Linked DNA regions of Caenorhabditis elegans. The protein of the gene in region 1 purifies or fractionates together with the protein of each later gene. This does not show direct contact. Each region holds a gene or a part of one and is shown on either strand. Other genes may lie near its edges. The genes, in order: lin-1 and let-418.

Region 1 (5,048 bases):
AAAACTATAGAAAAATACCGTATTTCTTCTATTAATATGGCTGCAATACTATTTTTCGATGGTCTTCCCGCTTGCAATACTAATAGGGAGTGCAAGACTATTAGGGAGTGCAATACTAATTTTCAGAACATTTTTCTGACTTTGAGCTTACTAGTTTTTTTCTGAAAAAGCTCGAATCTTATGTAAAAATTCAGAAAATTTGCTTTTAATTGTAACATATATAATAAGTTCAAAAACTTCAATCTCGTAGAAATGTTGTGAAAAACTGTTGCAAAATAGGCAAATTTTTTTGTTGAAATCCTGAAGTTAACAAGACGGGCCTGCAATAAAAAAGAGTAAACGCAAGGCTATTAGGGAGTGCAAGACTAATAGGGAGTGCCATACTAATTTTCGGAAGGTCTCCGAGGGGCAATACTAATAGGGAGTGCAAGTCTAATAGGGAGGCCATATTAATAGAAGATATACGGTATGTGAAAAACAATTTTTTAGTTGGCAATTTTCTGATAAAACCAATGTCAATCAAGATGTCAACTGATAAAGTTGCATAGGCTGCCAAAGTGGGTTCATTTGAGGTTCAATTGATGCACCATGTCGTTCCTTCTTGGACAGCCTATATCTCTATTTATTTTAATGCTAGTAATTTTAAAATGAGAAAATTATAGAAAAATATTTGAAAAATGTTTTGTTAGTTGTCAATTTCAAATAAAATCAAAAGACAACCAAGATATGAGCTGTCAAAGTTATGCAGTTAAATCCTCCTCACTTTAGAAGCTCTAATTTCAGTTGATTTTAAAAATATCAAAATATAGTAAACTAGAAAACTATAAAAAAATATGTGACAAACATTTTGTCAGTTGACAATTTTCTGATAAAACCAATGACAACCGAAATATAAACTGGTAAAGTTGAAGTTTTTTTTCGATGCACCATGTTCGTTTAATATGATGATTTTCTAATTTTCCAAAATAGTTATATATTGGCAAGTGGAAAAAAATTTGGTTTGTTTTAAATTGATTAATAATGTTAATTGCATAATTGTACAATATTTTGTCAGTTGACAAAAACAACCAAGTTTTCAAAGTTAAGTCTCGAGCAAGTTTCGGTTTCCTACGTTGTTTGGCGGGTTTTCAAAGAGTTTTTTGGGCAATTTCAGACAATTTTGAGCTATTTTGAAGTAAGAAGACATACAAAAACATTGCAGGTATTATAAAATAATTATCAAATAGCTAAAAAAAAATTCTTCATTACACTTAAACAACTTTTGAGCAGACCAACTTTTGTGATTTCCAATATATGATTTTACTTTTAAAAAAAATCTAAGACTAAACCATTTCCCTCAACTTTTAAATTATTCTAACATTAAACCTCTCCTCTTCCGTTTAAAATCGTATTAGCCAAGGGAATTAGGCCTTTGAAACTAAAACTTTTCCCTTGTGTCTTGTGTCACAACGCATTAAAATTTGAAGATATTAATAATTGTCCCACTTTCCACATACTTCATTCTTTTTTTATGAATTGTACAGTAGGCCTTTATGCCTGCCTGGTGCCTAGAGTAGGCATAAGGTAGGCATGAGATCGTAAAGTGACAGCAAGTTTTGCTCATATCTTAAAATTATCGTGTTTTTATAATGTAGATTCAATTCAACAATAAGTGAGCAAAAAGTGTTGTAAATTTCCGCATTTTACAGCCCCCCTCCCGTCCCTTGTTATCTATAGAGTCACTGAAAATAGTAGCCAGCTCGTCACTCATTGCCACGTCATCTTTCATCAGCCGCCGCCACCCCGTACCATTTTCCAGGTCAAAAGAAAGCGCCGACACTCTACAGTTTACACGAAAATGAATCACATTGACCTTTTGAAGGTTTGTCCACTGACTTCATGACTCCTAAATAGTATTCTTTTGCAGGTCAAAAAAGAGCCGCCGTCGAGTTCGGAAGAAGCCGAGGAAGAAGAATCTCCGAAACATACGATTGAGGGAATTTTGGATATAAGAAGTTAGTTTATTTTTTATAGTATTTGGAGCAAAACACACTTGCTACTAAAAGCAAATGTGCTCAATGAAGTTTGGCTCAAAATTGCTGATAGTGATTTTTATTTTGAATGAAAAATTTCACATTTTTCGGCAATTTGCTTATTGTGATTTGAACAGTCGAAATGTGAAATGAAAAATTAGGGGACATGGTGCATTGATTGGGCAACTTTGGCAGTTTATATTTCGGTTAATGTTTAAGATACGAAAAAATATGTAACTACAAAGTTATAGAACAACATATGAAATTTGTTTTGTTAGTTAAAAGTTTTTTGATAGAACCAAAGATAGCCAAGGAAAGTGGTGACAAAGTTATGCACCATGTTTGAACCTCTACACTTTAGGAGCACATATTTCGGTTCATTTTTAAAATATCAACATATAGTAAAATACAAAACTATAGAAAAATATGTGAAAAACAATTTTTTAGTTGACAATTTTCTGATAAAACCAATGTCAATCAAGATATCAACTGATAAAGTTGCATAAGCTGCCAAAGTGGGTTCATTTGAGGTTAATTTGTTGGACAGCCTATATCTCTATTTATTTTAATGCTAGTAATTTTAAAATGAAAAAATTATAGCAAAATATTTGAAAAATGTTTTGTTAGTTGACAATTTCAAATAAAATCAAAAGACAACCAAGATATGAGCTGATGCACCATGTTAAATCCTCCTCACTTTAGAAGCTCTAATTTCAGTTGATTTTAAAAATATCAAAATATAGTAAACTAGAAAACTTTAAAAAAATATGTGACAAACATTTTGTCAGTTGACAATTTTCTGATAAAACCAATGACAACCGAGTCAATGACAATGACAATGACAATGACAACTGGTAAAGTTGAAAGGATGTTCGAACAATATGATACTTTTCTACTATAGTGGCAAGTGGAGCTATTGGCACATTCTCAAAATATTTTACTAACTAGTCTAGTAGAACAAGTTTCAAACCAATTTGTTCTTCCTGCCAGACGGCTGAATAAACCGTAACGACCATGCTCTTCCACCTGTCGGTTGATGCTCAACTACTGATTCCTCTCCCTGCCACTTTTTTCTCTTTTTTTCTGAATTTAGTTTTGGTTTTTGCGGGTAAAATCCGATAAGAATTGATGAATGTGTGTCGCTTTGGGTAGAGCAGCTAATCCGTATTTGGTTTTAATGATGATTTGATGATTTAGTATGGTGTTTCTTTTTTCTCAAGTTTTTGAGTAGAATTTTCAAGAAATTTGTGAGAAAAATGACTTAAATTTTGCCAAAACATAGGGTATTTTTTAAAACTTTGAGCAGAATTTTCAAAAAAAATAACACGATAAAATTCAATTCTAAAATAATTGTCAAGACGAAATTTTCGGTATAAATCCAACTCCCTCTATACATATTTCCGCCTCACAGTACCGCAGGTCCCCCATTTTTGTTTGATTTCTACCGCATTTTCACACCCAATCACTTTTGTATATATATACATACGACATATGGTGTCAATTAATAAGTCGGAGGGGAGGGTGTGTGTTTGATACGTTTATATATTTAGATACTTCTTGTTGAAGAGTCAAGTTAAATCAAACCACATGACAATGTTTAGAGCTTTAAAGGTTCATAACTGGAACTATTGTTTTTATATCCATTTGCAAAACGTTACATTAAACACATGGCTGGAATAAAATACAACCTTTTGTCTTTACTATGCCACAGAGTCTGTAATAGTGTCCTCCAATAATTTAATGCATTTTTACGTGCTTTGCAATTTTTCTGAAAGTATCTTCAAATGGGTGAAAATCACTCATTTTGATATTCTTCTATACCTTTGAATTTTCTTGATATATATGCTTTACTGTTACCCCTAAAACCATCCCAACTAGCATCTGTTCTTCACTATTTACGGGTCTCTTGTCTTCCTTATCTGTTGTTATTGTTGTTGTGCTCTTTCGGAGCAGCTGAAGTTGCGGATTAAAGTCATCTGCGACCAAAATTGACGGATCGGAATATATGGCCGACAAAGAAGAGGTGCTTGAATGGGGTGAAGTGGGGGTCCTAAAAAGATCAGTCATCCGGAATGTTTTTAGGGTAGTATCATATGAAAAACCCCTCTACTCAATTCATATTAAATATTTTGTCAGCCCCTGAAACCTCTTTATCCAACAAGAAAACCGTACTAATGATAGGTTATATCGGAAAGATGTGGAAGGGTGGAACATAAATATTATTGCGTCTTCACGGATTTTTGTGAGATCATCATTTTGGAGATAACCAGGGGGGAAGGTCATCAAAAGGTGCGACTGATAGGCATCTGGTAGTGCATGATTCAGTTTTAGTAGTGTATTTGCTTTTTTTTGAGGACATGAGAAAAATTTAGGAAATTTTTGAACCCACCTTGAGAATTTTGGAATAACTGCTGTAGCCTCTCCTAGGGCTTCCACCAGGGGTGTGCGGCAAATCTCAAAATTTGCCGAGCTCGGTAAATTCGGCAAATCTCTTTTTTCAATATTTGCCGAGCACGGCAAATTCGGCAAATTCGGCAAATTCGGCAAATTCGGCAAATTCGCCGTGCTTAACAAACTCGGAAAAATTTGATATTTTTTTTATGTTTTTTGGAGCACCAAAACTACTGAATTCTTAACACACATCTGGTTTCTGAATAAGTTCCGCGTAGTATGTCTGTTTAAGCATCAAAATAGCTCAATTTTGTATCATTTTACTAAATTTTTGGCTAAAAAATCAATAGTTTTAGTCAAAATTGTACTGTCAAATTTTTGACGTGTGCGGCAAATTCGGCAAATTCGGCAAATCTACTTTTTTGAAATTTGCCGTGCTCGGCAAATTCGGCAAATTCGGCAAATTTGCCGCACACCCCTGGCTTCCACGTAGGCGATAAAACGCCTGCCTGCCTGACTTTAAGGCAACCTCTGCCTGCCTCTCGTGAACTTCTTTCATTCTTATTTTGATTTTTAACAGATTGATAAAAATGATAAAATTTGAAGTTTGAAGTTTCAGGCAGGCATCAGGCCCTGAAACCGTCC
Region 2 (7,828 bases), on another chromosome or scaffold:
TTGAGTACTCTATTATGTCAACACAAAATTCTGAGAATGCGTATTTCACAACATATTTGAAAGTATCTCATAGCGAAAACTACAGTAACACTTTAACTGATTACTGTAGCTCTTATGGCGATTTACGGGCTCTATTTCAAATGCCTTGTGCAATACGCATTCTCAAAATTCTGTGTTCCCGTAATATCACTGTTTTCGAACATTATTTTCCAAATTACACTTTTACAATTTTGTAGAAAATCTAGCAGTTTGAGAAATTTTTTCAGAAGTTAAGATATAATTTCTAGAAGCTTATAATAGGGCGAATCTAAAGCGTTATACTGTTAATTCGAAATATTAAATGTTATTCAATCATTTAAAATTGCCACGTTTTCAGAAGGTCAAGGTAAATTTGTTTATCCTTGATTTAAACATTATGAACATTTTATTTCTTTTAAATTATTTTTAACTCGCATAAACACGTGTTTTGAACTTCTAGATCTTTTTCTTCACTGCCGTGCATCGATTTGAATCATTTTCCGCTTTTGCGCTTTCAAGGGAGGTCCATTTATGCGAATGGGTCTCGCCGCGCTAAGTGCATTGATTTTAAAATGTTGTGTGTGCGTCTTAACGTTTACTGTCCCGTTCTTTTTTTTTTAGCTTTTTCCCTGTTTTCTAAGGTTTTCCTAGTTTCTGAAAAGAATTTGTATATCTTTGTATAAGAATTTGTATATACATGCTGATTCAATTAAAAATTAGTAAAGTTCCGAAGAAGAAACCTATTTTCGGGAGCTATGCAGGTGCGCTCCATTGCCAGCAGATGCGTTTTGTTCAAATGTTTTCTTTTTCATTTTTTTTTGGCTCGCTTTTTGGATTCGCGTTTCCTCTCAATTTCCGCAATTTGATATTTCTAAGTATACAAGTATATTTCTAAAATCGTCATAAATATTTGCTCGTAATTTTCCCAATTTTAATTCAAAATTTTAATTCTATCAGGACGGTTCACAGTTTTTACCTGATTTGAATCCTGAAATAGATCTAATTTACTAGTTTTTTTTTTAATCCGTAATCCAACGTGTTTTTAATTTTCTGTGAACAACATAATTCTCAACTCAAATTAGTAAAGGGACATGCCACGTATTAATAATTTTCGTTGCGGGAAACACGACGCTGCATTTGGTCACTCTTACGCGCGAAGACGGGTCATTCGAATTTCCATCACTCTCCTCTCGTCTCTCTTTCTCTGACCACCGTCCCAACGAGCTGTGTCCCCGTTCTGCAATGTCCCCGCAGTGTCTCGTCAAATGGGACATATGGGGACATGAAATTGTCCCGTTTCGAATCAATATTTGTTTGAAATATGTTTTTGAATACGGCTATTTTTTCTAACTTTTCTTGTAATAATTGCATTTTCTCGATGGTAGATTTTAGAAAACTTGAAACGTAGGTTGTAAAATAAATTTTAAAAAATTTAAAATAGCTTGACGAGCTTAAATTTAAATTCCTACTTTAGGAATTTAATATTTTCAAAATTTTCTACGTTTTTTAGAAAAAATTAAGGCTTAATCTATCAGCCCAAAATTTACACTCAACTCTGTGTGTTATTTCGTCGCCGTGTTTGCAGACTTTTCACACTTTCAAATTTTGCTGATTTGCATTCGAGCTTTCTAATTTGTTCTCTTTATAATGTCCTTCTTGCAATTATTTATGTCTTACTTATATTAATCAATTTTCAGAAATTGTATTTCTCCTGAGAATTCAACAATGTCAACTGAAGAAGATCCGTCTTTAGTGGACGCGGAAGAATCAATGGAAGAGGGTTCTGTCACTCAAGACGCAACTGAAGAAACAGAAGAAGAGGAAGAACAAGAGCAAGGCGATGAGGCTGGACCATCTGAGCGAAAGCGTTCTTCTAGAAAGAAAGGCGGAAAGGGAGGCAAAAAAGGATCCAAAAAGAGTGCTGCCGCAGCTAGCAAGGTTGAGATTCCTGATCCGTATAATTCGACAAGTGAAGAAGTTTGTGCTGCTATCGGATTGACAGACGTCGAATTTGATTATGATGAAGAGGAGTTTCAAGGAATTTCTAATCTGAAGGTGATTATTCAAAATTTATTTTTTAAATCTCGATTTCTGTTTTCCTCCAATTAAACATCTTTTTTACAGACTTTCTCCTCAATCATCAAGCCACAAATACTGGAGGCAAACCCCGGAACCAACGTATCCAAGATGTACCCGATGTTCCAAGTCAAATATAAAGAGTATCAAGATCACATGGCTGCCCAAGGAAAACCTGTTCAAAAACAAGCTAGAGGTTCAAAGACTCCAGCAGTTTCCACACCCGTCATCCCTCCACGATCAGCTCCAACGAAGACTCGTTCTGCAAGGAGAAAGCGTCGAGATTCCGATGCTCCTGATAGTGATCAAGAGTTTGAGGCATTTATTAAGCAACAAGAACAACTGGAGGACGATTTGGTAAAAGACAAGGAAGATGCTCGTATCAAACGTGCAGCGGAAAGAGAAGAGAAGAAAAAAGGAGCATTGGAAGCTGCTCGTGCCGCTAAAAAAGCAAAATTAGAAAAGGGCGAAGAAGCTGAAAATAATGACTACTGTGAGGAGTGCAAGCAAGATGGAGAACTTCTTCTTTGTGACACCTGTCCCCGCGCTTACCATACAGTCTGTATTGATGAAAATATGGAAGAACCACCAGAGGGTGATTGGAGTTGTGCTCATTGTATCGAACATGGCCCAGAAGTAGTTAAAGAAGAACCGGCGAAGCAAAACGATGAATTCTGCAAGATCTGCAAAGAAACTGAGAATCTTCTGCTTTGTGATAGTTGTGTATGCTCATTCCACGCATATTGTATTGATCCTCCACTTACCGAAGTTCCGAAAGAAGAAACATGGTCGTGCCCACGGTGCGAGACGGTTAAGCCGGAACACAAAATCGAAAAAATCCTTTGCTGGAGATGGAAGGAAATCCCGTATCCAGAACCTCTCGAAGCTGGGAAAGAGGCTTCGAGTGACGATGCGATGCTCAAACCACCACGGAAAATGGAACCAAGACGTGAGCGTGAATTCTTCGTGAAATGGAAGTATTTATCATACTGGCAGTGTTCTTGGGTCTCCGAAATGCTGTTGGAAGTTCATTTCCGTATGGTGAGTTTTAAGTGATGAAGTCCATTTGACTAATGTTTATTTTTCCAGCTTATATTGCTATATTGGCGCAAAAATGATTCCGATGCTCCTCCAGAATTTGAAGAATCCGTTACGTCTCGTCATCATTCTGATAATGATCCTTATAAATTGCGCGAGCGGTTCTACCAGTATGGTATCAAACCGGAATGGATGCAAATTCATCGTATTATCAATCATCAATCATATGCAAAGTCGCAGCAGGATTACCTTGTTAAGTGGAAGGAGCTCAGCTATGATCAAGCCACTTGGGAACGAGATGATTCTAATATTGCCAATTACGAAGAAGCAATCATTAAATACTGGCAACATCGTGAGAGCAAATTAAATGAGGATATTCCTAAAAATGTGCAGAAGATGATTGCTAAACATCGCGAAGCTAAAGGTCTTCCTCCAAAAGAAGACGAAAAGAAAAAGAAGAAGCGTGAGAAGATTGACATCCGTAAAAAATATGAAGTTCAGCCCGACTACGTTACGGAAACCGGAGGAAAACTTCATCCATATCAACTGGAAGGACTTAACTGGCTTCGTCATTGTTGGTCCAACGGAACTGATGCGATTCTCGCTGATGAAATGGGTCTTGGGAAGACTGTTCAATCGCTTACTTTCTTATACAGTCTCATGAAGGAAGGCCATTGCAAAGGACCATTTTTGATTGCCGCTCCTCTATCAACTATTATCAATTGGGAGCGTGAGGCTGAACAATGGTGTCCTGATTTCTATGTGGTCACTTATGTTGGTCTTAGAGATGCTCGTGTTGTGCTCCGAGAACATGAGTTTTCTTTCGTTGAAGGTGCCGTTCGATCCGGACCGAAGGCTTCAAAAATGAAGACGACAGAGAATATGAAGTTCCACGTGTTGCTCACTTCTTATGAGACTATCAATATGGATAAAACTATACTTTCTTCCATTGAATGGGGAGCTCTTGTTGTTGATGAGGCTCATCGGTTAAAGAATAATCAGTCGTTGTTCTTCAAAAATCTCAATGAATATACTATTCATTATCGCGTACTTCTCACCGGAACTCCACTTCAAAACAATTTAGAAGAGCTCTTCCATCTCCTCAATTTCTTGTCCAAAGAACGTTTCAAGTAAGTTTCTGAATTTTTGTGTATTTTATTTTATTAATTGCATTTTTTCAGTCAGCTCGAGGCTTTCACTGCCGAATTCAATGAGATTTCCAAAGAGGATCAAATTGAAAAACTTCATAACTTGCTCGGACCTCACATGCTTCGCCGTCTCAAAGCTGATGTGTTGACTGGCATGCCATCGAAATCAGAATTAATTGTTCGAGTTGAACTGAGTGCTATGCAGAAAAAATGGTATAAAAATATTCTGACTCGCAATTTTGATGCATTGAATGTGAAGAATGGAGGAACTCAAATGTCATTGATGAACGTCCTTATGGAATTGAAGAAATGTTGTAATCATCCATATCTTTTTGTGAAGGCAGAGTTGGAGGCTCCGAAAGAGAAAAACGGAATGTATGAAGGAACGGCGCTCATCAAGAATTCCGGAAAGTTTGTTCTTCTTCAAAAAATGTTGAGAAAGCTGAAGGATGGTGGCCACCGAGTGCTTATCTTCTCACAAATGACAAGGATGCTGGACATAATGGAAGATTTATGTGAATATGAAGGATACAGATATGAAAGAATAGATGGAAGTATCATGGGACAAATGAGACAAGATGCTATCGATCGTTACAATGCTCCTGGAGCTCAACAATTTATTTTCTTGCTCTCCACTCGAGCTGGAGGTCTTGGTATCAATCTGGCAACTGCTGATACGGTTATCATATATGATTCTGATTGGAATCCTCACAATGATATTCAAGCTTTCTCTCGTGCACATCGTCTCGGACAGAAGCATAAAGTTATGATTTATCGTTTTGTAACAAAGAAATCTGTCGAAGAAAAAATCACTTCAGTTGCCAAGAAGAAGATGCTTTTGAATCACTTGGTTGTACGTGCAGGATTGGGAGGAAAAGAAGGAAAGACAATGAGCAAGACTGAGCTGGACGATGTGCTTCGATGGGGAACCGAAGAGTTATTCAGTGAGGATCTTGATGCTGCCGAAGGCGAAGGCTCGGAGAAGAAAGGTGCTGCCGCACAAGAAATTGTTTGGGATGATGCAGCTGTAGATGCTCTTCTCGATCGCAGTAACAAAGAAGAGACTCCAGCAGGAGAAGATGGCGAAGAAAAAGCTGAATGGCAAAACGAATATCTAAGCTCGTTCAAGGTGGCCAGCTATCAGACAAAAGAGACTGAAGGACAAGAAGAAGAGGAGGAAGAGGAAACGGAAGTGATTAAAGAAGATGAGAAAGAACCAGATCCAGATTATTGGGAGAAGCTGCTCAAGCATCACTACGAACAGGACAGGGAAATCGAATTGCAAAAGCTTGGAAAGGGAAAACGTGTTCGCAAACAAATCAACTATGCCAGTGAGAATATGGGAACTGATTGGAGCAAGCAGGTTTGTTTTTTTTCTGATTAATTGGGTTTTTCTGATTAATTTCTGATTAAACATTTAATGATTTTTTTCAGAACCAAACCCAAGATGATGACGATGATAACGAGTCGTACCGTGGTTCGGACAATGGCGACGGCCTGAACTCTGATGAAGATGATTACGATGAGAAGAAAAAGCGGCGTCGTGATGAAGAAAAAATGCCTCCACTCATGGCTAAAGTCAATGGACAAGTTGAGATTCTTGGTTTCAATCCACGTCAACGCAAGGCGTTCTACGGGGCTGTTATGCGCTGGGGAATGCCTCCACAAGATTCTCATCAATCTCAATGGCTTGTTCGAGATCTGAGAAACAAATCGGAAAAAGTCTTCCGAGCTTATGCTTCACTGTTCATGCGACATCTCTGTGAGCCTGGAGCTGATGGTCATGATACCTTTAATGATGGAGTTCCAAGAGAAGGTCTTAATCGTCAGCATGTTCTTGGCCGAATCGGATTGCTGAGTTTAGTTCGGCGGAAGGTTCAAGAATTTGAGCAATATAATGGCCAATGGTCTATGCCTGAAATACAAGACGAAGTTCTCGCTAAAGCTGCCAATGGTTCGGCACAAGGATCTTCAAGAAGTACTCCGAAACCAAAAGAAGAGCCGAAGGAAGAACCAATGGAAAAGGAAGATGCTACTGAAACAGTTAACGGAGCTACATCAGAGCCAGCTACAGATGCTGAGAGTGAACAAAACGCTCCTGTTGACGAACCAATGGATACAGATGAAGCCAAAGAACCGAAAGAAGAACCAATTGAAACCGAGAAACCAAGAGCAGCCCGTCCATCATTCAAGTTCAACATTTGTGACGGTGGATTCACTGAACTTCACTCTTTGTGGGCCAATGAAGAGAAAGTTGCAAGAAACGGAAAAGAATATGAAATCTGGTACCGCAGACACGACTATTGGCTTTTAGCTGGTGTTGTTGTACACGGATATGGACGTTTCCAAGCTAATTTCAATGACATCATCAATGATCCCAGATTCTCAGTTCTCAATGAGCCATTCAAGGAAGTTGGCGCTGAGGCAACAGGATCTGACATCAAAGCCAAGTTTATGCAACGTCGTTTCAAACTTATTGAACAGTCCCTTGTGATTGAGGAGCAACTTCGTCGCGCTGCACACGCCAATCGTCACTTGCAGCCGGATAATGTTGGACCATTGGCTCAACGTTTTGCGGATTTAGAGAATATTGCTGAATCTCAAGCTAATATCGCCAAAGAAAGTTCTGCTGGAAATCGTAATGCGAATGCCGTTCTACACAAAACATTGGTTCAGCTCGACGAAATACTTTCCGATATGAAGGCCGACGTGTCTAGACTTCCATCTACTTTTACACAGTTAGCGACTGTCACCGAACGTCTCAACATGACCGAGAGACAGTAAGTTTTAACTCGTAAAAGCTTCAGTCAATATATGTATATATATTTCAGAATTCTTTCGCGACTGACCACAAAAGACGAGGACGCGATAGCCAACCGTAGCGTACTTCCACCACCAGGACCATTTGTAACTCCAATACTTCGCCAGCAGATGGATGGCATTCAACCAAAGTTTGCAGCTCTTTACAGTAAATTCATGTCTGAAAATGGAGAAAGGATGGAAGAGGATGAACCAGTAGAGGCAGAAGAGGAAGAAGGTGTAAAACAAGAACCAGATGATGAGACTCAAGATAGCGCCGAAGCTCCGCCAGTTCTTAGTGCAGGTTAGTACTAATTCATATGGATCTTAAAATAACTCAATGTATTTCTATTTCCAGAAGTGAATTCCGACGATAGCAACGATGTTCCATCTACTTCCGCTGCTGCTGCTGTCAGTTCTGAAACAGCTGCCGACGCCGAACCAGCTTCCGCCGAAGATCAAGCTCCAACAGATGAGCCAGAACCAATGGAAACTTGAATGTCTTTTTAATTTTATTGGGTTTTACTGTATTTTTTCAAACTTTAAACCATTATATTATTTATTGTTCTCTTTTTAGTTGCATCAATTGAAATGCAATTCAAATAATTGCGTCATGAATCTGTGTAAACGTTTAATCCTGATCTTTTCGTCTTAACTTGTTCACATGAATCTAAGCAGCCTCGCCATCAACACGTTGACCGTTCTATGATAACCCAGTCATTCTCTATCTCGCCTCGCTTCCTCTTTGC

The links.
Region 2: the proteins of lin-1 (region 1) and let-418 purify together in Caenorhabditis elegans (affinity purification with western blotting, with the first as the bait; one study listed by BioGRID). This does not show direct contact.

The regions. Positions count from the first base shown.
Region 1 is NC_003282.8:2,297,076-2,302,123, reverse strand, and holds the start of lin-1 (ETS domain-containing protein), read left to right. Parts: upstream 1-1,837; coding exon 1,838-1,861; intron 1,862-1,906; coding exon 1,907-1,994; intron 1,995-5,048.
Region 2 is NC_003283.11:5,825,118-5,832,945, forward strand, and holds let-418 (Protein let-418), read left to right. Parts: upstream 1-1,715; 5' UTR 1,716-1,743; coding exon 1,744-2,073; intron 2,074-2,142; coding exon 2,143-3,135; intron 3,136-3,183; coding exon 3,184-4,262; intron 4,263-4,313; coding exon 4,314-5,643; intron 5,644-5,714; coding exon 5,715-7,060; intron 7,061-7,111; coding exon 7,112-7,383; intron 7,384-7,437; coding exon 7,438-7,577; 3' UTR 7,578-7,714; downstream 7,715-7,828. UniProt on the Caenorhabditis elegans protein: Part of a NuRD (Nucleosome Remodeling and Deacetylase) complex which is implicated in the synMuv B pathway that negatively regulates specification of vulval cell fate.